4 linked regions of the Anolis sagrei genome follow. The protein of the gene in region 4 purifies or fractionates together with the protein of the main gene of each other region. This does not show direct contact. Links are inferred from orthologs where the notes say so. Each region holds a gene or a part of one and is shown on either strand. Other genes may lie near its edges.

The links.
Region 1: the proteins of IQGAP1 (region 4) and HECTD1 purify together in Homo sapiens (affinity purification with mass spectrometry; 3 studies listed by BioGRID, with this or other methods). This does not show direct contact. The link is inferred for Anolis sagrei from reciprocal best matches to the Homo sapiens genes IQGAP1 and HECTD1.
Region 2: the proteins of IQGAP1 (region 4) and DIAPH1 purify together in Homo sapiens (affinity purification with western blotting; 3 studies listed by BioGRID and IntAct, with this or other methods). This does not show direct contact. The link is inferred for Anolis sagrei from reciprocal best matches to the Homo sapiens genes IQGAP1 and DIAPH1.
Region 3: the proteins of IQGAP1 (region 4) and DVL2 purify together in Homo sapiens (affinity purification with western blotting; 3 studies listed by BioGRID, with this or other methods). This does not show direct contact. The link is inferred for Anolis sagrei from reciprocal best matches to the Homo sapiens genes IQGAP1 and DVL2.

The regions. Positions count from the first base shown.
Region 1 is NC_090021.1:298,826,811-298,834,775, forward strand, and holds the start of HECTD1 (E3 ubiquitin-protein ligase HECTD1), read right to left. Parts: upstream 3,006-7,965; 5' UTR 2,333-3,005; intron 1-2,332. UniProt on the Homo sapiens protein: E3 ubiquitin-protein ligase which accepts ubiquitin from an E2 ubiquitin-conjugating enzyme in the form of a thioester and then directly transfers the ubiquitin to targeted substrates.
Region 2 is NC_090024.1:135,161,416-135,169,204, reverse strand, and holds the start of DIAPH1 (protein diaphanous homolog 1), read right to left. Parts: upstream 3,013-7,789; 5' UTR 2,803-3,012; coding exon 2,632-2,802; intron 1-2,631. UniProt on the Homo sapiens protein: Actin nucleation and elongation factor required for the assembly of F-actin structures, such as actin cables and stress fibers. Binds to the barbed end of the actin filament and slows down actin polymerization and depolymerization.
Region 3 is NC_090026.1:4,388,386-4,395,800, forward strand, and holds the start of DVL2 (segment polarity protein dishevelled homolog DVL-2), read right to left. Parts: upstream 3,016-7,415; 5' UTR 2,841-3,015; coding exon 2,560-2,840; intron 1-2,559.
Region 4 is NC_090029.1:22,411,983-22,419,331, forward strand, and holds the start of IQGAP1 (ras GTPase-activating-like protein IQGAP1), read right to left. Parts: upstream 3,011-7,349; 5' UTR 2,883-3,010; coding exon 2,834-2,882; intron 2,743-2,833; coding exon 2,643-2,742; intron 1-2,642. Other genes in the region: TUBGCP4 (gamma-tubulin complex component 4), read left to right, coding at 3,099-3,170, 3,266-3,463, 5,189-5,287, 5,568-5,621, 5,714-5,770, 6,118-6,197, 7,056-7,266. UniProt on the Homo sapiens protein: Plays a crucial role in regulating the dynamics and assembly of the actin cytoskeleton.

The sequences.
Region 1 (7,965 bases), on a different chromosome or scaffold from region 4:
AGACCTGTTCGCATCCCCAGCGAACACTCACTGCCCAATATACTGCGCAAGGCTCCGCCCTCACGTATCCCCAGGCTGTCTAGGAGACGCCTTTCTTTTCCGCTGGACATCAGACCTCATCTACCTTTTTCCCCCCCTCCCCCTCCTGTCACCTGTCATAGCCAAGATAATCCAGGACAACTCCAACTGCGTCCTGATCACCCCTTGGTGGCCACGCCAACACTGGTTCGCCACCCTTCTCCAAATCTCCAACGGGGACTATTTCCATCTTACCCCCATTCCAGACCTCCTCACAGTGGAGAACGGGCTCGTTCTCCACCCAGACCTCCACTCCCTCCGCCTGACGGCGTGGAGGATCAGACCACATTAAACTTCTCAGACGAAGTATCGCGTATACTCCTTGCTGCTCATAAACCATCCACTACAAGGTCATATACCTACAAGTGGTCAATATTCTCAACGTTCACAAAATCAGTGGGTCACAATCCCCTCACTGCACCCACTCAGGTGGTGCTGGATTTTCTGGTCCACCTCTCCAAGAAAGGCTTCTCCCTCTCCTCTGTTAAATGTTACTTAGCAGCTATCTCTTCCTTTAGGAAAAAACGTGGCTTGCCGTCCCTTTTTCAAGACAATTTGGTTCAATTGTTTCTAAAGGGGTATAAAAATGTTCATCCTCCTGTCTCCCTTCCCCCACCACAATGGAGCCTGGAGCTAGTACTATCTCAACTATCAAAACCTCCCTTTGAGCCTATGGCCTCTAATGATATTTCTCACCTCTCCTGGAAAGTTGCATTCCTAGTGGCCATCACCTCGGCCAGAAGGACCAGTGAACTTGCGGCCCTTCGATCAGACCCACCATATATAAGATTTCATGATGACAAGGTTGTACTGCGAACCAATGTCACTTTTCTACCAAAGGTAGTCTCCCACTTCCACATGTCTCAAGACATCATACTACCAGCCTTCTTCCCAAACCCATCCTCTCCCCTCGAGGTGGCCCTCCACTCACTAGATGTTAAAAGGGCCCTTTCATTCTATCTCCATAGAACATCCCCACACAGAAAATCTCCCAGACTGTTTTTAAAATACAGGAAAGACATGATGGGGCACCCTGTATCTTCTCAGGGGTTGGCCTCATGGATCGTCTCTACGATCCGCCTAGCCTACCAATTGGCAGGGAAACAGCCACCATCTCAACTCGTGGCCCATTCAACCAGATCGGTCTCCACCTCTCAAGCCTTTTTGCGTGGAGTTCCACTGGATCAAATCTGTAGAGCTGCTACGTGGTCCACACCGTCCACGTTTGCATCCCATTACAAACTGGATGTACTAGCCAAGAAGGATGCAGCCTTCGGCAGAGCTGTACTGTTTTCCTGCGTGGCATGACCCACCTCCAGGTCAGTAGCTTGCTATTCACCCATAAGTGTGCATTTCACGGAGGACACGAAGAATAAATAAAGGTTGCTCACCTGTAACCGTATTTCTTCGAGTGTCCATCCGTGAAATTCACACGACCCGCCCGTCCTCCCCTCTGTCATGCCTATTTGTGTTACGCCGCTATTTGGCGCTTGGGAACTACCTCTCAGGCGCGCGGCAGGGCCTATATACCGGGGGGGCGGGGGATGGGCGGGGCTTGTGTTGTACTTAAATAATCATTTAAAAATCATTTAAAATTTCTAGAAGTTCCGGATTGCTGCGCATGCGCGAAGGATAACCCATAAGTGTGAATTTCACGGATGGACACTCGAAGAAATACGGTTACAGGTGAGCAACCTTTATTTCTACAGGGACGCAGACAGCAAAACAAATGCCACAGAGGTGTTAACCCTTCCCTACTTACATACAGATTCAACTTAAGAAGTTATCTTGTTTGTAACTTGGGGACGGCCTGTAATTGTTCTGAATTAGTCAGGATGCCATACTTAAAACACTTTCTTTTTTCACATTGAGATGGTTTCAGATTTCATATAAATATTTAATTAACTTGACTCTAACATTGAGAAGATCCCAGCACTTGTAAGCATATAAAACTTCTAATGATACTCAAAGCGGAATATACCGTAATACGAATGTTCAGACACCTGAAATCTCATCCATTTGATTTGCAATATGTCAACTGAACACAAGTATTATCCTAGGGTTTGATACTTGGCAAGCTTCTTTGTTGTAACTCTGTTTCATGCCCATCCAACTATTCTCTGTACAAATATTAAAAATGTGATGATACAAATATGAATGTTTTAATTTCTTACAGCTTTTTTGCTACAGTTATTCCCTTTTTCAGATTATTGTCCATTTATACCACAAGGGACAGTCAAAATTAAATACTTACGTCTTTGATTTATCCACTGAGAGGGTTAAGCAGGAAAATGTCACATTCAGCTTGTCCTTTTTTCCCGACATCATCTTGAAAAATACTTTCATCTGGCAAGATAATAGTCCAGCTTGAAATGTTGGAAATTAGAAAAAATATTCTGGCAATAAACATTATCTCAATGTTGTCTTTATATAGTCCTTGGAAATCTAAACTTAGGATCAGTGTTGGACTTTCCCATCATGTCTTGAATCCTGGTCACAAGTGCGGCTGTGTGTCAGCTGTAAAAGGCAGTGTTTACCACTCACTGGCTTGTGTAATGTGCTGCGACAAGGAGTGTTTTAAAGATTACTTATTACATGCTTTACATTTTTGTTATTAGTCACGTCAGCGTGATTTGTGCCTCAAGGTTTTCTGTCTTGCCGGTTTTACATTGCACTGTAGGAGAAAACAATTTTTAACATCTAAATCTTTCTTAAAAGTATTACAAATTGTTTTAAGTTGAACTTGATAAATTTAGTGACTTAGGTTCCAGGATTTATGTCCATAGTACGTCTTTTGATTAGTCCCGTTCCTTTAAAAGTAGGTTCTACTTCTACTCTTAGACACAGCAAACAGGATCTATTTTAATTCCTCTTTCAAAACATGTAAACTGAGCAAAGAGAGCATTCTGTAGATGCAGTCAATTCAAATGTACAAATCCGGCAGACAGGAAGTGAATTCCCTGCTTAAATATCTTGCTTGTGTTGTATGACACAGAGCTGAAGTAATGAGGAAGCCTTCAGCTGTTCATTCCAGCCAATCAGGATTTACAGAAGGATGTCATACAATGGTGTTGTTGTTCAACTGAGATATTTGTCCTCCTTTGTGAGACCAAACCTATTCTAGGATGACTAACGCACTTGCTGCTGTTTTGCTTTAGTAATCCTAACCACAATTACTGCATGCTCAGTGTGTACACATGTATGTTTGCCTATATATGCTCATACCTTCGTGGTTTTATTCACTGAGACTGATTTAACTTCATTAGGAATCTGCTGTTCACCTTGAGAAAGTGTATTATTGTTCTTGAAAAAAAGCTGTAACTTTTGAGTAGCATTTAAGCACATCTAAAAAGCAAGATTGCAGCATACACAATCACATATGCATAGAAAACATCGTAAAGCTCCTTTGTGTCCTGATAGTTTTCTTGTTACAATTTTGGGAGATATATACCCTGTGGGAGTTGAATATTTTGATTTTGACTTTCCATGACAAGACCTTGGTTTTGTTGTATTTTGTTGCATGGCCAACAAGCAGTCCTTGAATATATGTCCTGGATTTGAATGTTGCCACAACAGGCAAAATTTCAAGAAGAGGGAGCTATTGGTATGGGATTTGAGGTTTTTTCCTCCAGCAAAGGTAAAACCCTTTAATTTGGACTGAGTTTTGACGGACAAAACAGCACAGAAAATCCATGAGAAATTCAGTGTTTGTTGTCTGAGGGGGAAGTTATCCTTCATCAGGTCAGAGTTTGCCTGCAGCTCAATGGAAATTACTTTAATGCTGCTCAAGGGATTTACATTTTATTGCCAGTGTTTTACTGCCCATTGTCCTGTTACTCAGATGGGAAATAAGGAGAGTGTCCTGTGCCTGCATCGATGTCCTTCAAGACCATCTTGACTGACAATGGAAGTAACATTTGAGACAAAATACATGTCTGTGACTCAAATGTTGTCATTTTTTTTTCTTTTCCCGTAAGATTTTAATATCTGCTTGATAAAAAAAGGCAGTGAATCTTTGAAAGCTTGTATGGTACATGTTTTGCAATTTGATGGCCCAATAAAGGCATCACTGGTTTCTGGACGTTGGATTTTAATTGCATAGTCAATAGGCTACCCCTATATAGAAACTGAGTGCTTCTTTTTGATATGTAAATCACTAGATCATGAAAGGGCGAGAGGTAAAATGTAATTTTCTCTCCATCTCATAAGAAAAAACTCTCTAAAGTTGATACTTGCTTATCAAGAGAGGTTTGTATTGGCAATAATAAAGGTTTTCCATTAAAGGCAGGTAGTTTGCCTCTCCCCTTTGCTTTCTTTCTTCCAGTAGGAAAAGACCTTTTCTTTTGACAGACTTTGGGCTATTTTCTGGTTGTGGAAAATGATGATTTGATAGGGAGTGCTATATGTTTCTTTCATTTGCTAGGTTTTAAATACATTCAATCTTTTAAATTCAGTGTTGTTTTAATATGATAGTTAACTAATTCTTCTTTGATTCTATGACCAATTTTAGCTATATCCTTTTTTTATTCTGAATGGCAAGCCTCCTTGAGTTCTCTATCAGAAAAAGTTGGAATATACATAAATAAATCCAGTACATTAGGAAGGTTAATTGCATTTACACAATTAACTAGGCTGGTCCTAAGTACATGCCCCTCAGCCTGATTTTATTTATGACCTGTTTCTTTCCCCAAATGCAGCCTAAGGACTTCAACCCATGGGCAAGGGGGGGGGGGGGGGAGAAGAGTATAATCTTAACCCATCCCCTCCCATTTCCCCCACATCCTTACCGTGATGGTGCCTGGCTTTATCTTGCTTTCTTTAATATAACTTCTGTTTGTGGACTTCATTTTTATCACTTTTGACAAAAAGCAAATTTAAATAAAGTTTTAAAAGGAATTATTTGGGTATTCAAATTATCTCCTCACATCTGTCACCCTGCAATGAATAAAATATAACTCGTTTTCATTGTCCCTTCCATATCTCTGGAACTACCCACTTAAGAAAGCTGGAGTCTCATCATAGTGACTTCTCACTGGCAGGCAAAGACTTTTTTAATTTAGGCAGGCCTCTTACTTGTTTCAGATGGGACTTTTAGCTTAATGACTTTTCAATTGTATTATAAATCTTTTATTAATTAATTTTATTAATCAATACAATTAGTTCTATTAATTTTAGGCCTCACTTGTGTTTGGTTTATTTGTACATAATCTAAGTTTCATTCTTGGGAGAAAGGGGAAATATAAATCAAATTCAAGAAAGAAACACAAAGAGAAGGTGAGGGCAATATTTTGAGTTGAATGAGCCAATTTTTATTACAGTATTTAAATGACGTATGTGACACAAGTGGGGTCAAATTAAACTGAATGCATGGTGAAGGGATCAAGAAATGTCAGCATCACATGCTTAATTTCCAATGTAATGCACGGCCAGTGTATTATTGCCAACCCTTTTTCAGGAGCTCTTTAGTAGTGCAGAGGTTAAGCTAAGTATATGGAGGACCAGCTGTATAATCCTGATCCTTTTTGCTCTGCTCAGGCTAGATGCATCCAAATCCCCATAATTCTCATACCGCATGAATTTAATTCACACTGACTAGCAGCTGGTGTTTAAAATGTATTTTATATGTACTGTATCTTACAGTTAGGAACTGGATGGATTGGTCTTGTATTGGTCCACCACTATACTCAGCTTGGAGATGATTGTAACCTAATTAGGAATGTATAAAGTAGACATATCATTTTGTGGTGCATGTAACTGATATCTCAGTTTCATTAAGCCAAAACCGCCGTATGAAGTGATGCTGTGTTGTCCAGTGTAAAAATCTGAAGTCACGTTAAATTCATACTGAAAGCAAAGATCTCCACAGTTCTTTTTATAGAGCAACATTTAATACTTCACTTTGTCCCTGTACCTTACGAAATGATAACTTTCATGGTTGTACTTGGCTATTTGGGAGCTTGCTTGTTCTTAACCAGTCATATCTGGTTTACTTAATGCATCAACATAAGTATGTTGCATTAAATATTTGTATGCTAAGATATTAAGGGCCATAATTCAACATATAGCTTTGCTCAGCCTTAATAGGTAATGTTTCTTTTCCTGATATAAAGTCTTTCATAGTCATCAATTGCCACCTGCTCAGCTGGGCAGTAAATCAAGTTTCTGCTTTTAGTTCGGCATGATTCTGCTTTTTCAATAAGCTTGGATCACAGATGCAAGTTTTTAGAAAAACGAAGAAATTTGTATCAAGTGGATTCCTAGCAGCAGGAATTATTTAAGTCAACTAGTATAGAAAATACACTGAATTGTTACAAAATTATACTAAAATTAGGCACATCATTTGCATACTCTTACCCAAACGATATAGTTACATAGATACGCATTTTTAATTGGAGTATCCATAAAAAATAAAAGCAAGCAATGACTGTTTATTATAAGTAGCATTACAAAAGACCTGACCTGAGCATCGCCAGGTACCTAAGCTAGTTACTAATAAAATATTAATTTCTTACCTGCCTCCCTATAAGTCAATGCAGAGAATGACAATATAATTGTCCTTCTTTAGGGGTCCCTTTCAAATTTATACTATATCTATTATATACATATATGTGTGTGTATGTGGATCATCTATGGCTGGTGGCTCTATGGCTGGTGGCTCTTTGTCAGGAGGGCTTTGATTATGTTTTCGTACCCTGGTGAAGGGAGTTGGACAGGATGGCCTTAAGGCAGAATTTCTCAACCTGGGGGTCAGGACCCTCGGGGGGGGGGTTGCGAGGGGGTGTCAGAAGGGTCACCAAAGACCACCAGAACATAGCATTTTCTGTTCCTCATGGGGGTTCTGTGTGGGAAGTTTGGCCCAATTCTATTGGTGGGGTTCAGAATGCTCTTTGATTGTAGGTGAACTATAAATCCCAGCAACTACAACTCCCAAATGACAAAATCAATTCTTTTTAGTGATGGTTACTCCTTGAGTTAGTAGGTGTCTTGCTGCGAAATTTGGTGGCAATTCGTCCAGCGGATTTTGAGTTAGATCACTCAAAACTAATGTCAAGATCCCTTACCTTGCCAGCCGGGGGTGGCAGGGCCTAGGAAGAGACAGGCTAGGTAGTTTCAGCTTAGTAGGCCTGGCAGAGAGCTGCAGGAGCCATCTTGGTTTAGGGAAGACTCCAGTTCAGAGAGGGGGAGTGGCCTAGGCCTGAGCCAGCCCAGCAACAGCCAGGATTGGTTTGGAAAAGGGGGGTGGAGTTAGACAGATGGAGGGAAAGAGAGAAGCCTATTTTGACAAGTCAGTTCAGTTCTGGGTGATGTTAGAGTAGGATTAGAGTTTTAGGAGTCTCTGTTAGGAAATAGGCAGCTTGCCTGAAGTTTGCACAGCAAAGCAGGCTGTGGCAGACTGGTTACAGCTATTTTTAGAAAAGAAATAGCTGGGTTTTGTTTAAAAATTGTAACAAAGAATAGAACCATTCTCTCAAGCAACCGTTACGCCTTTTAAGAACAAGAACACTTTAATTGTAACAGACAAGCTTATGAACCTGCATTAACTTTTATTCTGTAACTTCTACTCAATAAACCTTTCTTGTTATTTTTAAAATTTAAGCCTGAGTCAAGTGGCATTTGTGGTTTGAGTCACTTTCCTTTTTGAACCAACCTCTCCTGTTTTCCCTCAAAGAAGCCCTTGGTAATATACAGTACTTGGTGGAATAAACAGTTTTTTTTTAACATTCTAAATAGCTAGAGGGTTCCTGATTCTTTAGTTTATGGTGGCAGCGAAGGTTTTACTAAAGAGACATCCCCTCAAACGCTATAAGGGCCAAAGTGGTGTGAATTCCTTATTAAAGGAGGGACAGTGTTGGGATCTGTTTGCCCCTGTCCAGTGATATTGTTTGG
Region 2 (7,789 bases), on a different chromosome or scaffold from region 4:
TTGGACTGGATGGCCCATGAGGTCTCTTCCAACTCTTTGATTCTATGATGGTCACTTGTTGGCCTGATTGTTGCTTTGTGTGTGTATACATTTGTGTATATGTGTATATATGTATGTTTTTCAGTGATTTTATGAGTGATGGTCACACATTGGCCTGATACGTGTCTTGTGTCCAAATTTGGTGTCAATTCGCCCAGCGGTTTTTGAGTTATGTTAATCCCACAAACGAACATTACATTTTTATTTATATAGATTTTGATTAATGTTTTTAATGTTTATGTATATGAATTCTTGTTCTGGCATTGAATGTTTGCCTTATATACGCTGTGCTCCGTCCTGAGTCCCCTTCGGGGTGAGAAGGGCAGAATATAAATGTTTCAAATAAAATAAATAAATTTCATGGCACCAACACTGAGCAAAGCGGACCCCATTTGGAAGAAGCAGTGGTATACTGGAGTGAGGAGGGCTGTGATGGATCATGAGTCAAGCCCTGAGAGCTCCAACTAAAGCTAAATTACAAAACATCCCCATGAACCACTAGTCAATTGAAGAAAGGTATTGACAAGCTGGAATGTGTCAAGAGGAGGGTGACTAAAATGATCAAGGATCTGGAGAACAAGCCCTATGAGGAGCGGCTTAAGGAGCTGGGCATGTTTAGCCTGAAGAAGAGAAGGCTGAGAGGAGATATGATAGCCATGTATAAATATGTGAGAGGAAGCCACAGGGAGGAGGGAGCAAGCTTGTTTTCTTCTTCCCTGGAGACTAGGACGCGGAGGAATGACTTCAAACTACAAGAAAGAAGATTCCATCTGAACATCAGGAAGCACTTCCTGACTGGGCAATCTGACAACTAGATAAGGACAAGCAGACGATTAGGACTGACAGGATTGACAATGTGGAAATGGAATTTGGACTATGAGATAGCGAACGCTGACCATCAATGAGGAGTAATTGGGTTTGTATTGGTTTTATTGTTGTAATGCAGGAATGGTTGTTTAACTGTTAATTGATGCTATTTGTTTTATTACTGTTATGTGATGCTGGCATTGAATTGTGCCTTTGTAAGCCGCCCTGAGTCCCCTTCGGGGTGAGAAGGGCGGGGTAGAAGAAACCGAAATAAATAATAAATAAATGTGAGCGCCGTTCAGCAGTGGAACTCTCTGCCCCGGAGTGTGGTGGAGGCTCCTTCTTTGGAGGCTTTTAAACAGAGGCTGGATGGCCATCTGTCAGGGGTGCTTTGAATGCAATATTCTTGCTTCTTGGCAGGGGGTTGGACTGGATGGCCCATGAGGTCTCTTCCAACTCTATGATTCTATATACTGTGCTCAGCCCTGGATCCCCTTTGGGGTGAGAAGGGCGGAATATAAATGTTTTAAATAAATAAATAAATAAATTTTCATGGCACCAACACTGAGCAAAGTGGACCCCTCTTTGGAAGAAGCAGTGGTACACAGCAGTGAGCAGGGGGCTGTGATGGCTCATGAGTCAAGCCCTGAGAGCTCCAACTTTTGAGCTAAATTACAAAACATCCCCATGAAGCACTAGTAGTGAACTCTGTGACTGGGGGCCACCTCTGTTCCAAACCATGGCAGAAGGCAACAGAACACATAGTCAATTGAAGAAAGGTATTGACAAGCTGTGTCAAGAGGAGGGTGACTAAAATGATCAAGGTTCTGGAGAACAAGCCCTATGAGGAGCGGCTTAAAAAGCTGGGCATGTCTGGCCTGAAGAAGAGAAGGCTGAGAGGAGATATGGTAGCCATGTATAATATGTGAGGGGAAGTCCTAGGGAGCTGCCCTGGAGACTAAGACACCGAACAATGGCTTCAAACTATAAGAAAGGAGATTCCATCTGAACATGAGGAAGAACTTCCTGACTGTAAGAGCCGTTCAGCAGTGGAACTCTCTGAGTGTGGTGGAGGCTCCTTCTTTGGAGGCTTTTAAACAGAGGCTGGATGGTCATCTGTCAGGGGTGCTTTGAATGCAATATTCTTGCTTCTTGGCAGGGGGTTGGACTGGATGGCCCATGAGGTCCCTTCCAACTCTATGATTCTACATGCTGTGGTCAGTCCTGGGTCCCTTTCGGGGTGAGAAGGGCGGAATATAAATGTTTTAAATAAATAAATAAATAAATACATTTTCATGGCACCAACACTGAGCAAAGCGGACCCTCTTTGGAAGAAGCAGTGGTACACAGCAGTGAGCAGGGCTGTGATGGCTCATGAGTCAAGCCCTGAGAGCTCCAACTTTTGAGCTAAATTACAAAACATCCCCATGAAGCACTAGTAGTGAACTCTGTGACTTGGGGCCACCTCTGTTCCAAACCATACAGAAGGCAACAGAACACACAGGGCTTGCCTAAAAGAGGAAGGAAGAAGGCTCCTTAAAGAGAGAACGAGAAACTATGGGGCGAGGGTTGACACTTGAAGAGCAAGTGCCCCTCTGGGCCACGAGGCCACTCCTGAGCCAGGTGAGGGAATGAGAAGAGAGAGGTGTGAGGACAGGGAAGGGAGGAGACCCGGAAGGAGGGGGAAAGGGCCACTGAGGGAAGAAACTTCCTGCCTGCCTGCCTCCTCCTTCTCCTCCGCCGGACAGGTGCGCCTCCCCCTCCCCTCCTTTCGTCAACACTCACAAACTTCCGGGACTTCCCCCCTCCTCCTCCTCCTCCGCTGGGGTCTCCCGCCGAAACCGCCGCCACTGTGGGCTCCTCAGGGCTCTTGCCCTTCTTCTTCTCGCGGCCGGCTCCTCGCGCTGACGGACCTCCGCCGCGGCCACTGCCACTACTGCCTCCGCCGCCCTCCATGGCGCCCCTCGAAGCCGGGCCTGAGCGCGCGCGCGCACCGCCGGGGAAGGGAGGGGGAGCCTTCACTCCTCGAGGCGGCCCATCCGCCTCGCGCCGCCGAAAGCCTTCAATGAGACCCCCTCAGAGCTGCCTCGCGCCGGCCCAGCAGCGCGCGCCCGCCCGCTCGCCTGCCTGAACTGCCGGAATCCACGCCCGCCTCGAGAGGCCCCGCCCACCGCCGTGTCGTCACCGCCGCGCGGCCACAAAGCCGCCTCCGCGAAGCAAAAAAAAAAAAAAGTGGGAGATTCGCCTTGAATCGACAACGGTGGAACAGATAGATACACTGTGGATATAGAGCTACGACTTGTAGAGGAGCCTTCCTCAAGTCCGCTGGGGAAGCTTCCAAGTCCCTTGCGTGTTTTCTCTAGGAGGCCAAAGTGTTGAATCATAGAATCAAAGAGTTGGAAGAGACCTCATGAGCCATCCAGTCCAACCCCCTGCCAAGAAGCAGGAATATTGCATTCAAATCACCCTTGACAGATGGCCATCCAGCCTCTGTTTAAAAGCTTCCAAAGAAGGAGCCTCCACCACACTCCGGGGCAGAGAGTTCCACTGCTGAACGGCTCTCACAATCAGGCTAAACATGCCCAGCTCATTAAGCCGCTCCTCATAGGGCTTGTTCTCCAGACCCTTGATCATTTTAGTCGCCCTCCTCTGGACACATTCCAGCTTGTCAATATCTCTCTTGAATTGTGGTGCCCAGAATTGGACACAATTTCAACAGAAAGGAAGAGGCCATGAAAATGAACAAAATCTGGCTACCAGTATTAAAAAACTCTAAAATTACAACAGCAAAACAGCAGAGAGGAAACAACCAGGCACATCTTAACACCTCTCAACAGAGGATTTTCCCAGGCTCAGCCAGGCCTTCAAATGCTAATGAAGGTGGTCAGTTGAAACATTCACACCTAGCTCCAGCAGGGAAGAGCTCCTTGCCACACCCCAGCCATTCCACAGATATATAAACCCATTGTCCTAATTCCAACAGACCTCACTACCTCTGAGGATGCTTGCCATAGATGCAGGCAAAACGTCAGGAGAAATGCCTCTAGAACATGGCCCTATAGCCCGAAAAAACCCACAAGAACCTAGTGATTCCAGCCATGAAAGCCTTTGACAATACATTAGTCAGGAAGTTCTTCCTCATGTTCAGGTGGAATCTCCTTTCTTGTAGTTTGAAGCCATTGTTCCGCGTCCTAGTCTCCAGGGAAGCGGAAAACAAGCTTGCTCCCTCCTCCCTGTGGCTTCCTCTCACATATTTATGCATGGCTATCATATCTCCTCTCAGCCTTCTCTTCTTCAGGCTAAACATGCCCAGCTCATTAAGCCGCTCCTCATAGGGCTTGTTCTCCAGACCCTTGATCATTTTAGTCGCCCTCCTCTGGACACATTCCAGCTTGTCAATATCTCTCTTGAATTGTGGTGCCCAGAATTGGACACAATATTCCAGGTGTGGTCTAACCAAAGCAGAATAGAGGGGTAGCATTACTTCCCTAGATCTAGACACTATGCTCCTATTGATGCAGGCCAAAATCCCATTGAAGCACACGGACAGACAGGCGGGGAATCCAGAGGCGTCCTCGCAACAGGGAATCCCCCGCTTTTTCTCAACCCAGGGCCCTTCCACACAGCTGCATAAAATCACATGTTGTTTGCTTTGTATGCTTGTCCACTGTGCCCTGCCTCATGTACAGAGGAGGAATTGTTGGAGTCTACAGACAATGCCGTAGCTGTTGCCCATTTTTGGTCCAAAGATATTTAGCCGCCTGCGCGCCTTCTATTTTTATCAGTTTTATACACATTTATGCAATGCTTTTGATGCGAAATAAATGTGCTTTGAACTTGGTTCTGTAGCAGTGTGGACTCTTGAGCCCTTCCACACAGCCATACAACTCAGAATATTTATTTATTTACAGCATTTATATACTGCTTTTCTCACCCCTGGGGGGACGCAATATCAAGGCAGAAATTTTCACAATATCTACTTTGAACTGGTTTATCTGAGTCCACACTGCCATAGATTGTGAATTATCCGACTTGAGATTTTGGTTATGTGTCTGTGTGGAAGGGCCCTTAGATAAGCAGATATAGTGGATTATCTGCTTTGAAATTCTTGAGCAATTTCAAGACAGGCCCTGTATCCCAGGATCTGATCCCAGGTTTTCTGTTTAATCCCAGATTATCTGGCAGTGCAGACTCATATAATCCAGTTTAAAGCAGGAAACCTGGGATCAGATCCTGGGATAGAGGGCCTGTCTGGAAAGAGCCCAAGAATATCAAGGCTGATAATTAACAGTATCTGCTTTGAACTCAATTATCTTAGATCTAGAAACAATATCATACAAAAGCTGACTGGCACAACCTGGGGATCACAACCAGATACAGTGAAGACATCTGCCCTTGCGCTATGCTACTCTGCTGCTGAGTATGCATGCCCAGTGTGGAACACATCTCATCACACTAAAACAGTGGATGGGACTCTTAATGAGACATGCCGCATTATCATGGTGTAGGGTCTCTGCGCCCTACACCATTGGAGAAATTACACTGTTTAACCAGTATTGCACCACCTGACATCTGCCAGGAAGTAGCAACCAATAGTAAAAGGATCAAGGCAGTGACAACTCTGGCCCACTCCCTGTTTGGGTATCAGCCAGCACGCAAACGACTTAAATCAAAAAATAATTTTCTAAGATCTACAGAGACACTCGCTGGAACACCTCAGCAAGCGAGAGTCCAAAAGTGGCAGGCTCAAACCCAGAACCTCAATCAATGGCTGATACCAAATGAGAGACTCCCCCCTGGGCACACAGAAAACTGGGCGACTTGGAAGGTGCTGAACAGACTGCGCTCTGGCACTAAAAGATGCAGAGCCAACCTTAAGAAATGGGGCTACAAAGTGGAATCCTCGACATGTGAGTGTGGAGAAGAGCAAACCACTGACCACGTGCTGCAATGCAACCTGAGCCCTGCCACATGCACAATGGAGGACCTCCTTGCAGCAACACCAGATGCACTCCAAGTGGCCAGCTATTGGTCAAAGGACATTTAATAGAATACCAAGTCTGAAAACTTTGTGTTTTGTTTGTTTGTTTGTTTTTAATCCAATACAACTGTTTTGGTTCGCTCCTGACATGATAAATAAATCTTAAATCCACACTGCCATATAATCCAGTACATGTGGATTTTATACAGCTGTGTGGAAGGGGCTCAGTTGTTGGTATATGCTGGTCTTGTACTTTGTCACTAGTTCATCTTATGTGTAAAAAGATTTTAGAAATATTTTTCTGTTTGACTTTTTGAGGCTGGCGACTCGCTCACTGAGGGCCCTTCCAGATAGATGGTCTGGAGTGAGCTATGGCTCCTCTCATTCTTCTCCATCAGGCAATGCTGACTTAGGCTGATGGGAGTCATAGTCTAACACTTGCCAAATATTAAGTTGGAATGAGGTTTTGTTCTTTGGTTACAGAAGATAAAAATATTTCTAGTTTTTAGCTCAAAGTTTTCCAAATAGGCGGTATGTAAGTGTGCTGCGTGATTGTAATGAGAAACCACTCATATAAATCATATAATCTATATAAAAATGTAATGTTTGTTTGTGGGATTAACATAACTCAAAAACTATAATATGAATTGACACCAAATTTGGACACAAGACAAGTGGCCATCATTCATAAAACACTGAAAAACACAGCAGAAAGGACTTAAAAGGCAAAAAAATGCATTACAACACATGCACAAAACCACATATATACACAAACATATATACACACACATATACATATATATACACACAAAAAATACATATACATAGACTGGGCCACAGCAACGTGTGGCAGGGGATGGCTAGTTCTAAAGATATAAATGGAAGCTTCATGAGACATGTTGTATCCCCATGCATTTCCTTATTACTATTTATATATGTGTCCATGTCTCTTCTAAGAGGTTGGTTTAACATCTGGTTTGCTACCAAAACTTAATTACTGAGCCAAGAAAAGATGCAAAGTGTGTCACCAACAGGAAAAGCTTGGACAGCTCTGTTCTAGAGGGTAGCCTCCCTAAATATGAGAAAGGCCTGCTTTTACAATACTATGTTTCCTCTTTGCCCTACCAGGTGAAAGTGACAGCAACCTCCATGAAACATTGAAATAGTTATGATGGCGAGAAGCCGCTGATCCATCCAAACATTGGCAGAACCAGAATTCATTCTCAGTTCTCCTTACATAAAGAAAAGATGTGATTGTGCCTTTAAAGTTGTTGTACAAAAGACTGGCAACAGCCTAGATGTTTCTAATACTGGACTATTTTGCAAGATACCATACATTCAACCTCATGCATATGTCCGCCCCCGCTCAATAGAGTAAACTGTGGCAACAAGCTAGAACTGCGTTTCCCAAAATGGGCAACATTTTCCCCTGGGAAGCTCAGGAATAACACTATGTAACACAATTTTTGTTCCTGGGTTATAAATGTCATTTTCTAATTGGTTCTGTCATAAAAACATGGGAAAAGTGCATTAAACTGCAAAAGCTTTGTTTTTGCGAGACACCCTGCAGCACATTTTGCTACAGTTTTTCAATTAATATCTCAACCAATTCAACATATGGTAGTTTGTGGCAGCCACAAATCAAAGTTTCTGGAATATAACAACTACTTTCAAAGTAAGTACCACATAGTTAAACAGGAAATAACACTTTTAAACCATGAACATTTTGGGTTGTAGTTTTTTTTTTTTCCGGGCTATATGGCCATATTCTAGAGGCATTCTCTCTTGACGTTTTACCTGCATCTATGGCAAGCATCCTCAGAGGTTGTGCGGATGCTTGCCATAGATGCAGGCATAACGTCAGGAGAGAATGCCTCTAGAACTTGGCCATATAGCCCGAAAAAACCTACAACTCAATGATTCCGGCCATGAAAGCCTTTGACAATACATGAACAGGTTTTT
Region 3 (7,415 bases), on a different chromosome or scaffold from region 4:
GCCATCTGCCGGGAGGGCTTGGGTAAGATATTCCAGCAGATGAGAATGGGGTCGGACTGGGTGGCTTTTGAGGTCTCCTTCTAGGATTCTATACTTGTAATAACAATAATAATCAGAGGCCGGAGGGCCATCTGTTGGGAGGGCTTGGGGTCGGACTGGGTGGCCTTTGGGGTCCCCTTCTAGGATTCCATACTTCTAATAACAATAATAATTAGAGACTGGAGGGCCATCTGTTGGAAGGGCTTGGGGTCGGACTGGGTGGCCTTTGGGGTCCCCTTCTAGGATTCTATACTTCTAATAACAATAATAATCAGAGACTGGAGGGCCATCTGTTGAGCGGGCTTGGGTAGGATATTCCAGTAGATGAGAATGGGGTCAGACTGGATGGCCTTTGGGGTCCCCTTCTAGGATTCCATACTTCTAATAACAATAATAATCGGAGACTGGAGGGCCATCTGTTGGGAGGGCTTGGGCAGGATCTCACTGTAAAGGATGGAGCTGATGGGAAGGGCAGGGCCTCAGGCGGAGCAGAAGAGGGCCCTCCCCATACGCCAGTGTTTCTCAACCTGGGGGTCGGGACCCCTGAGGGGGTCGCGAGAGGGTGTCAGAGGGGTCGCCAAAGACCATAAGAAAACACAGTATTTTATGACAGTCATGGGGATTCCATGTGGGAAGTTTGAGCCAATTCTATCGTTGGTGGAGTTCAGAATGTTCTTCGATTGTAATGAACTATAAATCCCAGCAACTACAACTCCCAAATGTCAAGATCTATTTTCCCCAGACTCCACCAGTGTTCACATTTGGGCATATTGAGTATTCGTGCCAAGTTTGGTCCATTGCATGAGTCCACAGTGCTCTCTGGATATAGGTGAACTACAACTCCCAAACTCAAGGTCAATGCCCATCAAACCCTTCCAGTGTTTTCCATTGGTCATGGGAGCCAAGTTTGTTTCAAATCCATCGAGTTCAGAATGCTCTTTGATTATAAGTGAACTATAAATCCCAGCAACTACAACTCCCAAATGACAAAATCAATCCTCCCCCAACCCCACTAGCATTTACATGTGGGTGCATTGGGTATTTGTGCCCAGTTTGGTCCAGTGACTGAAAATGCATCCCGCATATCTGATATTTACATTATGATTTGTAACAGTAGTAAAATGACTGTTATGAAGTAGCAACGAAAACAATATAATGGTTGGGGGTCACTACAACATGAGGGACTGGATTAAGGGGTCACGGCATTAGGAAGGTTGAGAACCACTGCCTTTCCTACGGACATTAGACTAGCACCATCTCTAATGGTATTCCGCAAAAAGGTGAAGACCTGGCTGTTTGTGCAGGCGTTTGAGTAATTTAGTGCAATCTGGTAATGGAACATAGGAATGGAACAATGGACGACGAACCTGGACTACGCTTGGGTGATGAGAAGATTGGGTACGGTTGTTTTTTTTGTAATAATTGTGCATTGTAATTGTTTATTGGTAATTTATGGATAATGTGTTAAGTCAATTGTTATATGTTGTATGGAACCACTGCTGTTTCTACTGTTTTTACTGTTTGTGAACCGCTGTGAGTCGCCTTCGGGCTTGAGATACAGCGGTATATAAGCAAAGTAAATAAATAAATAATAAATAATATATAGACAATAACACGCAATGGGGTTGGACTGGGTGGCCTTTGGGGCCCCCTTCTAGGATTCTATGCTTCTAATAACCTATAAAACCCTATACGGTTCCGGCCCAGTGTACTTGTCCGAACGGATCTCCCTCTACATCCCACCTCGAAGTTTAAGATCTTCTGGGGAGGCCCTGCTCTCGACCCCGCCAGTCTCACAAGTGAGGCTGGCGGGGACTAGGAGCAGGGCCTTCTCGGTGGCGGCCCCCCGCCTGTGGAACTCACTCCCCGGGGAGATTAGATCGGCGACTTCCCTCCTAGCATTTAGGAAAAAACTAAAGACCTGGATGTGGGACCAAGCTTTTGGTCACTCTGACAACTAACTCAAGGACCTGGTGATAGACAAGGACAAACGGAATAGAACAGATGTATGGACTGATATATGGACTCTGACATGAGATTGGTTTAGGTTTTATGATTTTACTATGTATTGATGTTTTAATCTAACTGCTGAATTGTTATATTTTTTGGATTACTTGTTGTGTGATTGGACATCTAATTGTGCCCTCCCTGTAAGCCGCCCTGAGTCCCCCTCGGGGTGAGAAGGGCGGGGTATAAGTGAATGAAATAAATAAATAAATAAATAATAACAGTAATAATCAGAGGCTGGAGGGCTTGGGTAAGATATTCAAGTAGATGAGAATGGGGTCAGACTGGGTGGCCTTTGGGGCCCCCTTCTAGGATTCTATACTTCTAATAACAATAATAATTGGAGAGTGGAAGGCCATCTGTTGGGAGGGCTTGGGTAGGATCTCCCTGTAAAGAATGGAGTTGAAGGGCAGGGCAGGGCCTCAGAAGAGGGCCCTCCCCAAACGCCCAAGGCCCTTCCTTGGGGGCACATGGGGAGGGATGTCTGTCTTCTCCCCCTTCGGGAGTCCTCACCCGAAGTCCTGGTCCATGCTCTTGAAGAAGTACTTGGCGCCAGGCCTGGCCAGGGCGGCCTTGACGTGGCCTAGAGTGAGGCGCTCGGCCGGGACCGGGATCTTCACCAGGTAAGGCGTCTCCTCTTCGTCCAGGTGGTAGATCACCTTCGTCTCGCCCGCGGGCTGCATGGAGGAAGAGGAGGAGGAGGAAGAAGAGGCAGAAGCGGCGTTGAGAAGAGCAGGAGGAGGAGGAGGATGAGGCTGAGGCGGCGCGCTAGGCCCGGAGCCCGCCATCGCCATGGCAACCAGCGGAAGGGCGGAAGCACAGGCGCCTCCTTCTTCTCCTTCCTTTAGGCCGCGCCCACGTTACCGAAGAGAGGGGGGGCAGGTAAAGTTAATAGCGGGGGGGGGTTAATAAAATAAAAAAAGGGAGGGGGAAAGGGGAAGAACGAAGGGACGAAGCCGCCCTCTCTCTCTCTCTCTCCTCTCTTTCGTCGCGCAGCTTACGTCACCACGCACGCGTTGCGCGCGCAGCTCCGCCCCTCGCTTGGGGAAAACAAGGCGTGAGGGGGCGTCACGTGACGAGCGTCTCCTCCTCCTCCTCCTCCTGCTCTTCTTCTTCTTCTTCTTGGGTCAGCCTGGCTTCCTAGGCCTGTCAACATAGAATCATAGAATCAAAGAGTTGGAAGAGACCTCATGGGTCATCATCCAGTCCAACCCCATTCTGCCAAGAAGCAGGAATATTGCATTCAAATCACTCCTGACAGATGGCCATCCAGCCTCTGCTTAAAAGCTTCCAAAGAAGGAGCCCCCACCACACTCCAGGACAGAGAGTTCCACTGCTGAACGGCTCTTTCTCAAGTTCTTTCTCATGTTCAGATGGAATCTCCTCTCTTGTAGCTTGAAGCCATTGTTCCACTGCATCCTAGTCTCCAAGGAAGCAGAAAACAAGCTTGCTCCCTCCTCCTCCCTGTGGCTTCCTCTCACATATTTATACATGGCCCTCATCATGTCTCCTCTCAACCTTCCCTTCAACAACTGCACTGCATCCTGTCAGATCCCCAAAATCTGGAGAAAAGCAAGAGTCATTGCCATCTTGAAGCCAGGCAAAGACCGTAGTGACCCAAAAAGCTACAGACCAATCTCCCTGTTGTGCCACCTCTACAAAGTTCTGGAGAGACTTCTTTTGCATAGAATTGTGGAAAATCTAGACCCATGTCTGACCCCCGAGCAAGCTGGCTTCAGAAAAGGCAAAAGCTGCACATCGCAAGTGCTGAACCTGACTCAGCACATAGAAGATGGCTTTGAAAGGCAGCAGATCACAGGAGCTGTCTTCGTAGACCTGTCAGCAGCCTATGAGACTGTGAACCACCACCTCCTCCTGAGAAAAATGTATAGTATCACAAAGGACAACCACCTCACCCGCCTCATAGGAAACCTGCTACAAAACAGGAGCTTTTTTGTTGAGCTCCAGGGCCAGAGAAGCAAATGGCGGAAACAGAAGAACGGCCTGCCTCAGGGGAGCGTGCTTGCTCCATCCATGTTCAACATCTACACAAATGACCAGCCACTGCCAGAAGGGACAGAGAGATTCATCTATGCTGATGATCGTGCCATTACTGCTCAAGCAGGGAGCTTTGAGATGGTTGAACAGAAGCTCTCCGAAGCTCTAGGTGCCCTTACTGCCTATTACAGGGAAAACCAGCTGATCCCTAACCCATCTAAAACACAGACATGTGCCTTTCATCTCAAGAACAGAGAAGCATCCCGAGCTCTGAAGATCACCTAGTAAGGAATCCCACTGGAGCATTGCAGCACACCCAAAGACCTGGGAGTCACTCTGGACCGTGCTCTTACCTACAAGAAGCACTGCCTGAATATCAAGCAAAAAGTGGGTGCTAGAAATAATATCATACGAAAGCTGACTGGCACAACCTGGGGATCACAACCAGACACAGTGAAGACATCTGCCCTTGCGCTATGCTACTCTGCTGCTGAGTATGCATGCCCAGTGTGGAACACATCTCACCACACTAAAACAGTGGATGTGGCTCTGAATGAGACATGCCGCATTATCACGGGGTGTCTGCGCCCTACACCACTGGAGAAATTACACTGCTTAGCCGGTATTGCACCACCTGACATCCGCCGGGAAGTGGCAGCCAATAGTGAAAGGACCAAGGCAGAGACATCTCCAGCTCATCCCCTGTTTGGGTATCAGCCAGCACGTCAATGACTTAAATCAAGACATAGTTTTCTTAGATCTACAGAGACACTCGCTGGAACACCTCAGCAAGCGAGAGTCCAAAAGTGGCAGGCTCAAACCCAGAACCATCAATCAATGGCTGATACCAGATGAGAGACTCCCCCCTGGGCACACAGAAGACTGGGCAACTTGGAAGGCATTGAACAGATTGCGCTCGGCACCACGAGATGCAGAGCCAATCTTAAAAAATGGGGCCACAAAGTGGAATCCACGACATGCGAGTGCGGAGAAGAGCAAACCACTGACCACCTGCTGCAATGCAACCTGAGCCCCGCCACATGCACAAGGGAGGACCTCCTTGCGGCAACACCAGAGGCACTCCAAGGGGCCAGATACTGGTCAAAAGACATCTAATCAACTGCCAAGTTTGCAAAATTTGTGGGTTTTTTTATCTGTTTGCTTGTTTTGTTCTGTTAGAAATGTAATACAATGGTATGGTTGCTGATGACACATAAATAAGGGTTCGCGGCATTAGGAAGGTTGAGAACCACTGGGTTAAGCCTTGGTCATTTTGGTGTGTATAATTTAATCAAGGCTTTATGCCCTATTTTCATATGTTTATAGCAGAAGGTAACAAATTTATTACTGAAAATCATGCCACAAAAGTATTTGACTTTTTCCATCTGAGAAACACCTGGGCTCCTGATGGGGAAAATGGAAGGAAAAAGGAAGAGAGGCCGACCAAGGGCAAGGTGGGTGGATGGGATCCTTGAAGTGACTGGATTGACCGTGAAGGAGCTGGGGTGGTGACAGCCAACAAGGAGCTTTTGCGTGGACTGGTCCATGAAGTCACAAAGAGTCAGAAACGACTGAACAAATGAACAAGACCCTTCCTATAGCAAGCGAGAGTCCAAAAGTGGCAGGCTAAGACCCCACCTATAGCAAGTGAGAGTCCAAAAGTGGCAGGCTAAGCCACTAATACCTCAGCAGACGAGAGTCGAAAAGTGGCAGGCTAAGACCCTATAGCAAGCGAGAATCCAAAAGTGGCAGGCTGAGCCACTAACATCTCAGCAAGCGAGAGTCCAAAAGTGGCAGGCTAAGACACTTCCTATAGCAAGCGAGAGTCCAAAAGTGGCAGGCTAAGACTCTTCCTATAGCAAGCGAGAGTCCAAAAGTGGCAGGCTAAGACTCTTCCTATAGCAAGCGCGAGTCCAAAAGTGGCAGGCTAAGACCCTTCCTATAGCAAGCGAGAGTCCAAAAGTGGCAGGCTAAGACCCTTCCTATAGCAAGCGAGAGTCCAAAAGTGGCAGGCTAAGACCCTTCCTATAGCAAGCGAGAGTCCAAAAGTGGCAGGCTAAGACCCTTCCTATAGCAAGCGAGAGTCCAAAAGTGGCAGGTTAAGACCCTTCCTATAGCAAGCGAGAGTCCAAAAGTGGCAGGCTAAGACCCTTCCTATAGCAAGCGAGAGTCCAAAAGTTGCAGGTTAAGACCCTTCCTATAGCAAGCGAGAGTCCAAAAGTGACAGGCTAAGACCCTTCCTATAGCAAGCGAGAGTCCAAAAGTGGCAGGCTAAGACCCCACCTATAGCAAGTGAGAATCCAAAAGTGGCAGGCTAAGTCACTAATACCTCAGCAAGCGAGAGTCCAAAAGTGACAGGCTAAGACCCTTCCTATAGCAAGCGAGAGTCCAAAAGTGACAGGCTAAGACCCTTCCTATAGCAAGCGAGAGTCCAAAAGTGGCAGGTTAAGACCCTTCCTATAGCAAGCGAGAGTCCAAAAGTGGCAGGCTAAGACCCTTCCTATAGCAAGCGAGAGTCCAAAAGTTGCAGGTTAAGACCCTTCCTATAGCAAGCGAGAGTCCAAAAGTGACAGGCTAAGACCCTTCCTATAGCAAGCGAGAGTCCAAAAGTGGCAGGTTAAGACCCTTCCTATAGCAAGCGAGAGTCCAAAAGTGGCAGGCTAAGACCCTTCCTATAGCAAGCGAGAGTCCAAAAGTGGCAGGTTAAGACCCTTCCTATAGCAAGCGAGAGTCCAAAAGTGACAGGCTAAGACCCTTCCTATAGCAAGCGAGAGTCCAAAAGTGGCAGGCTAAGACCCCACCTATAGCAAGTGAGAATCCAAAAGTGGCAGGCTAAGTCACTAATACCTCAGCAAGCGAGAGTCCAAAAGTGACAGGCTAAGACCCTACCTATAGCAAGTGAGAGTCCAAAAGTGGCAGGCTAATCCATTAATACCTCAGCAAGCGAGAGTCCAAAAGTGGCAGGCTAAGACCCTTCCTATAGCAAGCGAGAGTCCAAAAGTGGCAGGCTAAGACCCTTCCTATAGCAAGCGAGAGTCCAAAAGTGGCAGGCTAAGACACTTATTTTATTTATTTCTGGTACTTTTACCCCGCCCTTCTCAACCCCTTCCTATAGACACTTCCTATAGAAACACCAGAGGCACTCCAAGGGGCCAGCTACTGGTCAAAGGAAATATAATAGAATGCCAAATTTGCAAACTTTGTGTGTGTGTGTGGCTTTTAATGCATTAGACCTGTATTCTCAATTTGAGTCCTGACACCATAAATAAAGTAAATAACCCCGCCAGGATGTGACGTCACGGAAGACACACATTTCCCCCCTCCCTCCTCCTTCTCTTCCCCTCCTTTGTCCTTCTGCTGCTTGAGGGTCA
Region 4 (7,349 bases):
TCTTTGCACCTAGAAATGCCAAGTCTGTCACGGCCTCCACGTTTTCTCCCTCTATTTCCCAGTTGTCAATCAGTCTGGTTGCCATAATCTTGGTTTTTTTTATGTTTAACTGCAACCCAGCTTTTGCACTTTCTTCTTTCACCTTGATCAGAAGGCTCCCTAGCTCCTCCTCACTTTCGGCCATCAAAGTGGTATCATCTGCATATCTAAGGTTGTTAATGTTCCTTCCAGTAACTTTTACCCCAGCCTTGCATTTATCAAGCCCTGCACACCGCATGATGTGTTCTGCATACAAGTTGAATAGGTTGGGTGAGAGGATACAACCCTGCCGTACGCCTTTCCCAATCTTGAACCAGTGTGCTGTTCCATGGTCAGTTCTGACTGTTGCTACTTGGTCCTTGTACAGATTCCTCAGGAGAGAGACAAGGTGATTTGGTATTCCCATACCACCAAGAACTTGCCACAATTTATTATGATCCACAAAGTCTAAGGCTTTAGAATCTATATAAATAAAAATGTAATGTTTGTTTGTGAGATTAACAGAACTCAAAAACCACTGGGTGAATTAACAACAAATTTGGACACAAGACACATAACAACCCAATGTATGTCCTTCACTCTTAAAAAAATGATTTTGTCGTTTGGGAGTTGTAGTTGCTGGGATTTATAGTTCACCTACAATCAAAGACCATTCTGAACTCCACCAACGATGGAATTGAACCAAACTTGGCACACAGTTCTCCTATGACCAACAGAAACTACTAGAAGGGTTTGGTGGGCAGTGTCCTTTGGTTTTGGAGTTGTAGTTCACCTATATCCAGAGATCACTGTGGACTCAAACAATGATGGATCTGGACCAAACTCTACATGAATACTCAATATGCCCAAATGTGAACACTGGTGGAGTTTGGGAAAAATAGAATCTTGACATTTGGGAGTTGTAGTTGCTGGGAGTTATAGTTCACTTACAATCACAGAGCATTCTGAACCCCACCAACAATAGAATTGGGCAAACCTCCCACACAGAACCCCTATGTAGGCCACAGCAACGCGTGGCAGGGGACGGCTAGTAGTCGATAAAACAGAAATAGATGTTTTTCTGAAAGTCCTTGCCTTTCTACATTATCTACACGGAGAGAGAGTTGCCAGATAGAATCATAGAATCAAAGAGTTGGAAGAGACCTCATGGGCCATCCAGTCCAACCCCCTGCCAAGAAGCAGGAATATTGCATTCAAATCACCCCTGACAGATGGCCATTCAGCCTCTGTTTAAAAGCTTCCAAAGGAGGAGCCTCCACCACACTCCGGGGCAGAGAGTTCCACTGCTGAACGACTCTCACAGTCAGGAAGTTCTTCCTCATGTTCAGATGAGAGGAATCTGAGTTCAGAGCTTGTTCACGGCACGAATCAAACTTATAAGTCAAGGTATCACTGTCTTTAGAAATACACCCTCAGAGTGTTAGAAAGACTGGGAAGTAGCTCTGGGGTTATGGAAAGGAACAGAGAAAGAGAGGAGGATAAGGAGGAGGAAGAAGAAGGAAGGAGTGGAAGAGGAGTAGAAAGAGAGAAGAAAGGAGGAGGCCCCTCAGAGTCCCCCTCTCACTCTTGAGGACCTCAGACCCTAACTTGTGACCGGGGTTCAGCCCAAAGAGGTGGATTTTGCAACAGCTCTCAGTCTACTTACTCCAGCCCTCTTAAATATTGTACAAATCATCTTCTAGGCCAGGCATGAGCCAACTTTGGCTCTCCCTCATAGAATCATAGTGTTGGAAGAGACCTAATGGGCTATCCAGTTGTAGTTTGAAGCCATTGTTCCGCGTCCTAGTCTCCAGGGAAGCAGAAAGCAAGCTTGCTCCCTCCTCCCTGTGGCTTCCTCTCAAATATTTATACATGGCTATCATATCCCCTCTCAACCTTCTCTTCTTCAGGCTCAACATGCCCAGCTCCTTAAGCCGCTCCTCATAGGGCTTGTTCTCCAGACCCTTGATCATTTTAGTGGCTCTCCTCTGGACACATTCCAGCTTGTCAATATCAAGCTGAGTATAGAAAAGGCAGAGGAACGAGAAACTAGGAGCCATAGAAGAAAATAAAGATGGGTAGAGCAAGGCACTTCCTGGTCCCTCCACCTTGAGAGCAAGAAAGCCCCCTCTACGCGAGGCCCCGCCCCTTTCTCTTCTACTTAGGTCAACAGTAAGCTGGGCTGACAGTCCGCAGCTTATGCCTACCCAGGGCTTCGAACTGGCAGCCTTTTTCTGCTGGTAGATCTTATCATTGCTGGGCTGTGCTAAAGCCCCGGCTTTCCTCTCTTCTGCAGAACAAGCCCCGCCCCTTTCTCACAAGCCCCGCCCCTTTCTCTTCTACTTAGGTCAACAGTAAGCTGGGCTGACAGTTGGCAGCTTATGCCTACCCAGGGCTTCAAACTGGCAGCCTTTTTCTGCTGGTAGATCTTATCATTGCTGGGCTGTGCTAAAGCCCCGGCTTTCCTCTCTTCCGCAGAACAAGCCCCGCCCCTTTCTCACAAGCCCCGCCCCTTTCTCTTCTACTTAGGTCAACAGTAAGGTGGGCTGACAGTCGGCAGCTTACGCCTACCCAGACCCCTTTCTCACAGGCCCCGCCCTCTTCGCCCCCTTATATTTCCTCACCGCTTGGCCTCCTCCAAGTGGCAGAGGTACTCGTAGGCCACGTTCTGCAGGCGCCTCTCGTCCATCTCCTCCGCCGTCATCCGCTCGTTGTCCAGCACCGCTACAGAAGGGGGAAAATAGAGGGAGGGGCGTCAGGAAGGGTCTCCTTCCCCTTCCCCTCGGAAAGAAAATGAGGACGGAAGGCCACTCACAGCCATAGTGGGGCCGAGCCGCGCCCTCAAGCTCCTCCGCGGCCGACATCTTTCTCTCTCTCTCTCTCTCTCCAAGCGGAGAAGGCGCGCTCTTAGCCTTCCTTCCTGCCTTGCCTGACTGACTGACTGACTGACAAGGCGCGGCCGGAAGCAGCCCTTCCCGGGCCTTGGGCGCATGCGCGGGAAACGTTCCCGCCCAATCGGCTAGCTCCGCCCCCTCCGCGCCTCCGCCAGTCAGTCACGTGCCCCTCTGCTTCCTTCCGGGATGATCCACGAGCTGCTCCTGGCGCTGCGGGGCTACGCGGGGGGGCTCTTCGTGGCCAGCGGGGGGCTGCAGGTGTGGCCCCGCCCCCTCCTGGTTGCCTTGGCCCCGCCCCCAAGTGTCTCTCTCTGTGTCTCTCCTGAAACGCGCTTCTCCCTCTTCTCCGACAGGTGGCTCCCGAAGCGGTGCCGGGGCTGATTCACCCGAGCGAGGCCGCGCTGCTAGGCCGCCTCCTCCGCCTCGGCTCCTTCTACCTCCGCTTCAGCGAGTTCATCGAGCCCGCCAATCAGAGCAGCAATGCCGGCGAGGCCCCGCCCCCTCCCGCGCAGGCCCCGCCCCCGGCGCTCCCGCCCGCCCCGCCCCCACAGGTGAGCAAAGCTGCATTGGGACAGCATGGCATGCAAGACACCTGCCAATACATGTAGTAGTATTATTATTATTATGAGCATTGTTACAGCATATATATATATATATATATATATAGACATATGTTATCGTTTTTATATATAATATTTATTTATTGGATATGTTATTATTTTGTATATAAAAATATACAAAATATATAATTATTGTTGGCTATATTATTGTTTTATATAATAATATAAAATATAAAATAATAATAATATATTATTATGAGCTTGTTGATCGAAAGGTCGCAGGTTCGATTCCAGGGAGCGGCGTGAGCTTCCGCTGTCAGCCCTAGTTTCTGCCAACCTAGCAGTTTGAAAACATGCAAATGTGAGTAGATAAATAGGTACCGCTCCGGCAGGAAAGTAACGGCGCTCCATGCAGTCATGCCGGCCACATGACCTTGGAGGTGTCTACAGACAACGCTGGCTCTTCGGCTTAGAAATGGAGATGAGCACCACACCCCAGAGTCAGACATGACTGGACTTAATGTCAGGGGACTACCTTTACCTTTATATAGTATATCAATGAGGGATTATTCCATAGGACATTTAGTGCAATACACTTGCAAACAGATGTATTATTATTATTATTATTATTATTATTATTATTATATATACACACACATATATATATACATACAAATATATGTTATTGTTTTTATATATTATTCTTATTGGAAATGTTATTTTATATATTATTATCATTTCCAGGAGGGAATTATTCAATTGGACATTGAATGCAATTCACTTGCAAATAAATTTATAATTTTTATCACTATTTGTGTGTGTGTGTGTGTATTATCATTTTTATATATAATTATTGTAGGATATGTTATTTTATATGGTATTACGTCAATGAAGGATTATTTAATAGGAGTATTAGTGCAATGCATTTGCAAATGTATTATTATTATGAGATATATATATATATATACACACACACACACACACACACATGTTATTAGTTTGTATATAATTATTATTGGAAATGTTATTATGTTCTATATTATCATCATTTCCAGGAGGGGATTATTCAATTGGACATTGAATGCAATACACTTGCAAATAAATGTATTATTTTTATCACTATTTGTGTGTGTGTGTGTTTGAGTGTGTGATCATTTCTATATGCAATTATTATTGGAAGTGTCATTATTTTATATATTATCATTTCCAGGAGGGGAATTGGACATTTAATGTATTATTAAATAAATGTATTATTTTTATCACTATTAATTGTGTGTGTGTGTTACCATTTTTATATATAATTTTTGTTGGATATGTTTATATAGTATTATGTCAATGAGGGATTATTCAATAGGACATTTAGTGTAATACACTTGCAAATAAATGTATTATTATTATTATTATTATTATTATCATCTTCATCATTTTTATGGTAGTATTTATGTTATTTATTTATGTATTGGTCACATTTGTACCCCACCCTTCTCAATCAGGAGGAGGACTCAGGGCACCCTTGCAACAGGCAGCAATTCAGTGCCACACACTGTGAATTGTGCTCGGTAGCAGACTGGCAGCCAGTGGAGCGGACACAACAGAGGGGTTGTGTGCTCCCTGTATGCCACTTCTCATCTCAATTGAATTCCTTCAAACATAGATTGCAGCCAGATCTGTCCATAAATCAGTCATTATTTGACCCTTCTTTCCTTCTTACTGCAGGAGTTGCCTCCGCCGGGGATCTACCTACGCGCCTTCTGTGCAGGGCTTGACGCCGTGCTGCAGCCCTACCGCCAGGCTTTGCTGGACCTGGAGCTAGAGGTGAGGGGGTCACAGCGGGATCTGGGGACAAGGCTCCACCCAAACTTTAGGAAGAGCTTCCTAACTGTGAGAGCTGTTCAGCAGGGGAACTCTCTGCCTTGGAGTGTGGTGGACACTTTTAAACAGAGGCTGAATGGCCATCTATTGGGGGTGCTTTGAGTGTGATTTTCCTGCTTCTCAGCAGAGGGTTGGACTTGATGGCCTACGAGGTCTCTTCCAACTCTAGGATTCTATGATTCAAGGGGGGGCTCCTCTGACCCATCTCTCTCTCTCTCTGCAGTTCCTGGCCGACCCCCACCTGACTATCGCCCACCTCAACTACTCCCTGGACCAGGTATGATTGTTGCCCCCCTTTGGCCAGGAAGAGATGCTGCAGGAAAGGCCCAGGTACACCTTTGATGCTTCCTTCCTCATCCTCTCTTGCAGTTCCAGCTCCTCTTCCCCTCCTTGATGGTTGTGGTAGAACAGATCAAGACCCAGAAGGTAGGTGCAAGGAGGAGGGGGTTGGTGGTCAGCGGGGGTCACCAAGGGAGGGAAGGAGGGAAGAGTAGACCTCTGTTTACAGAAGCCGACTGAAGCTAGAAGAAAATGTTCCCCCTCCCAAGGACTCTGCTCCTTCCTACACCACAACAGTGGTGTCCAGCAAGGCAGGACTGCCATTTCTTCTCATCTCAGTAGGCATTACGTATATAATTGTGATGCATGTCTAGAAGCATCTGCATTATACTATTATTTTGTGAAATATGGGGAAACCATTGAATCCCTCTCAATGCTGAAACACAACATTAAGTTGATTTTGTGGGACAGCTTCTCTCTCTCTCTCTTTGCAGATCCATGGCTGCCAGATCCTGGAGGTGGTCCACAGGCACAGCCGTGGAGGGCTACCCCCTGTCCGCCAGGCCCTGGAGAGGTACTGATCCTTCCTTTGCTTGCTGTAGGTGCTCTCCCCCCCCCTCCCCAATCTCACTTCATCCCCTGTTGTTATTTGACCTCCTTGTTGGGAGAGAGGGTTTATTAACAAAAGACCACTCCCCATAACAGTATACTGGAGTAACTTATTGGCAGTAGTGTGAACCAGCACCATTAGCCAAAATGATAAAAAGAACAAAAACACACAGACCAACGTTATAAGTTCCTTTGAAGGCTTTTCTTTCTAGCAAAATAATATGGTTTCACTTTTACAAAAACAAAGTTTTCATAACACAAATAAAGTCCTTTATACTTCCTTCTTTGCTTCCACGCTGGGCTTCATTCTCATGCAGATAAACAGCTTTGCTCTCACAGAGCCTCCTCTCAAACTGAAGCTTCACACAGTAGCTTTACACATTGTGGTTTCTCTCACCAAAGCTTCTCACACCAGGCCTTCTAACACTAAGGCCTCCTGAGGCCTCTCACACACACAGGCCTTCTCACATTGGCTCTCTCTCACACTGAGGTGTACTTAGACTGAAGCCTCTCAAACTGAGGCCTTCCTCCCACTGAGGCCTGCTCATAACGAGGTATTCTAAGCTGCCTATATAGAACTGCAGCTTTTGCTGAGTCATTGCATCGATTTAACCCTTTCAGTGCTTGACTCACATTTTTGTAATTAAGAATACCTAGTTAATTTATTTATATTTCTGACACTTCTCCCTGTCTCCTTACTGAAGTGGCCCACTGATAAGAGGAGGATTAGGAGGGGGTACCTGCTTCTCAATGCCAAAGGTCACCACCGAAGCCCCTCCTCTTCACCTGTACCCCTCCCCCCCCCCCCCCCCCCCCGCTGCAGAATCCTGGCCACCTGCCACGCAGCCATGTACAAGCAGCTATCGGCCTGGATGCTGCACGGTCTCCTCCTGGACCAGTACGAGGAGTTCTTCATCCGTCAAGGCCCCTCCTCCTCTTCCTCTGGATCAGGGCCTTCGCAGCTGGATGAGGATGAGGATGACCTGGGCATTGGGGGCCTCACCGGGAAGCAGCTGCGGGAGCTGCAGGACATGGTGAGGAATGCCCTCCTGGCCGGGGTATTTTACTTATCATTCACAACAACAACAGAGCCAAGAAATATGGCATTAATCAAATA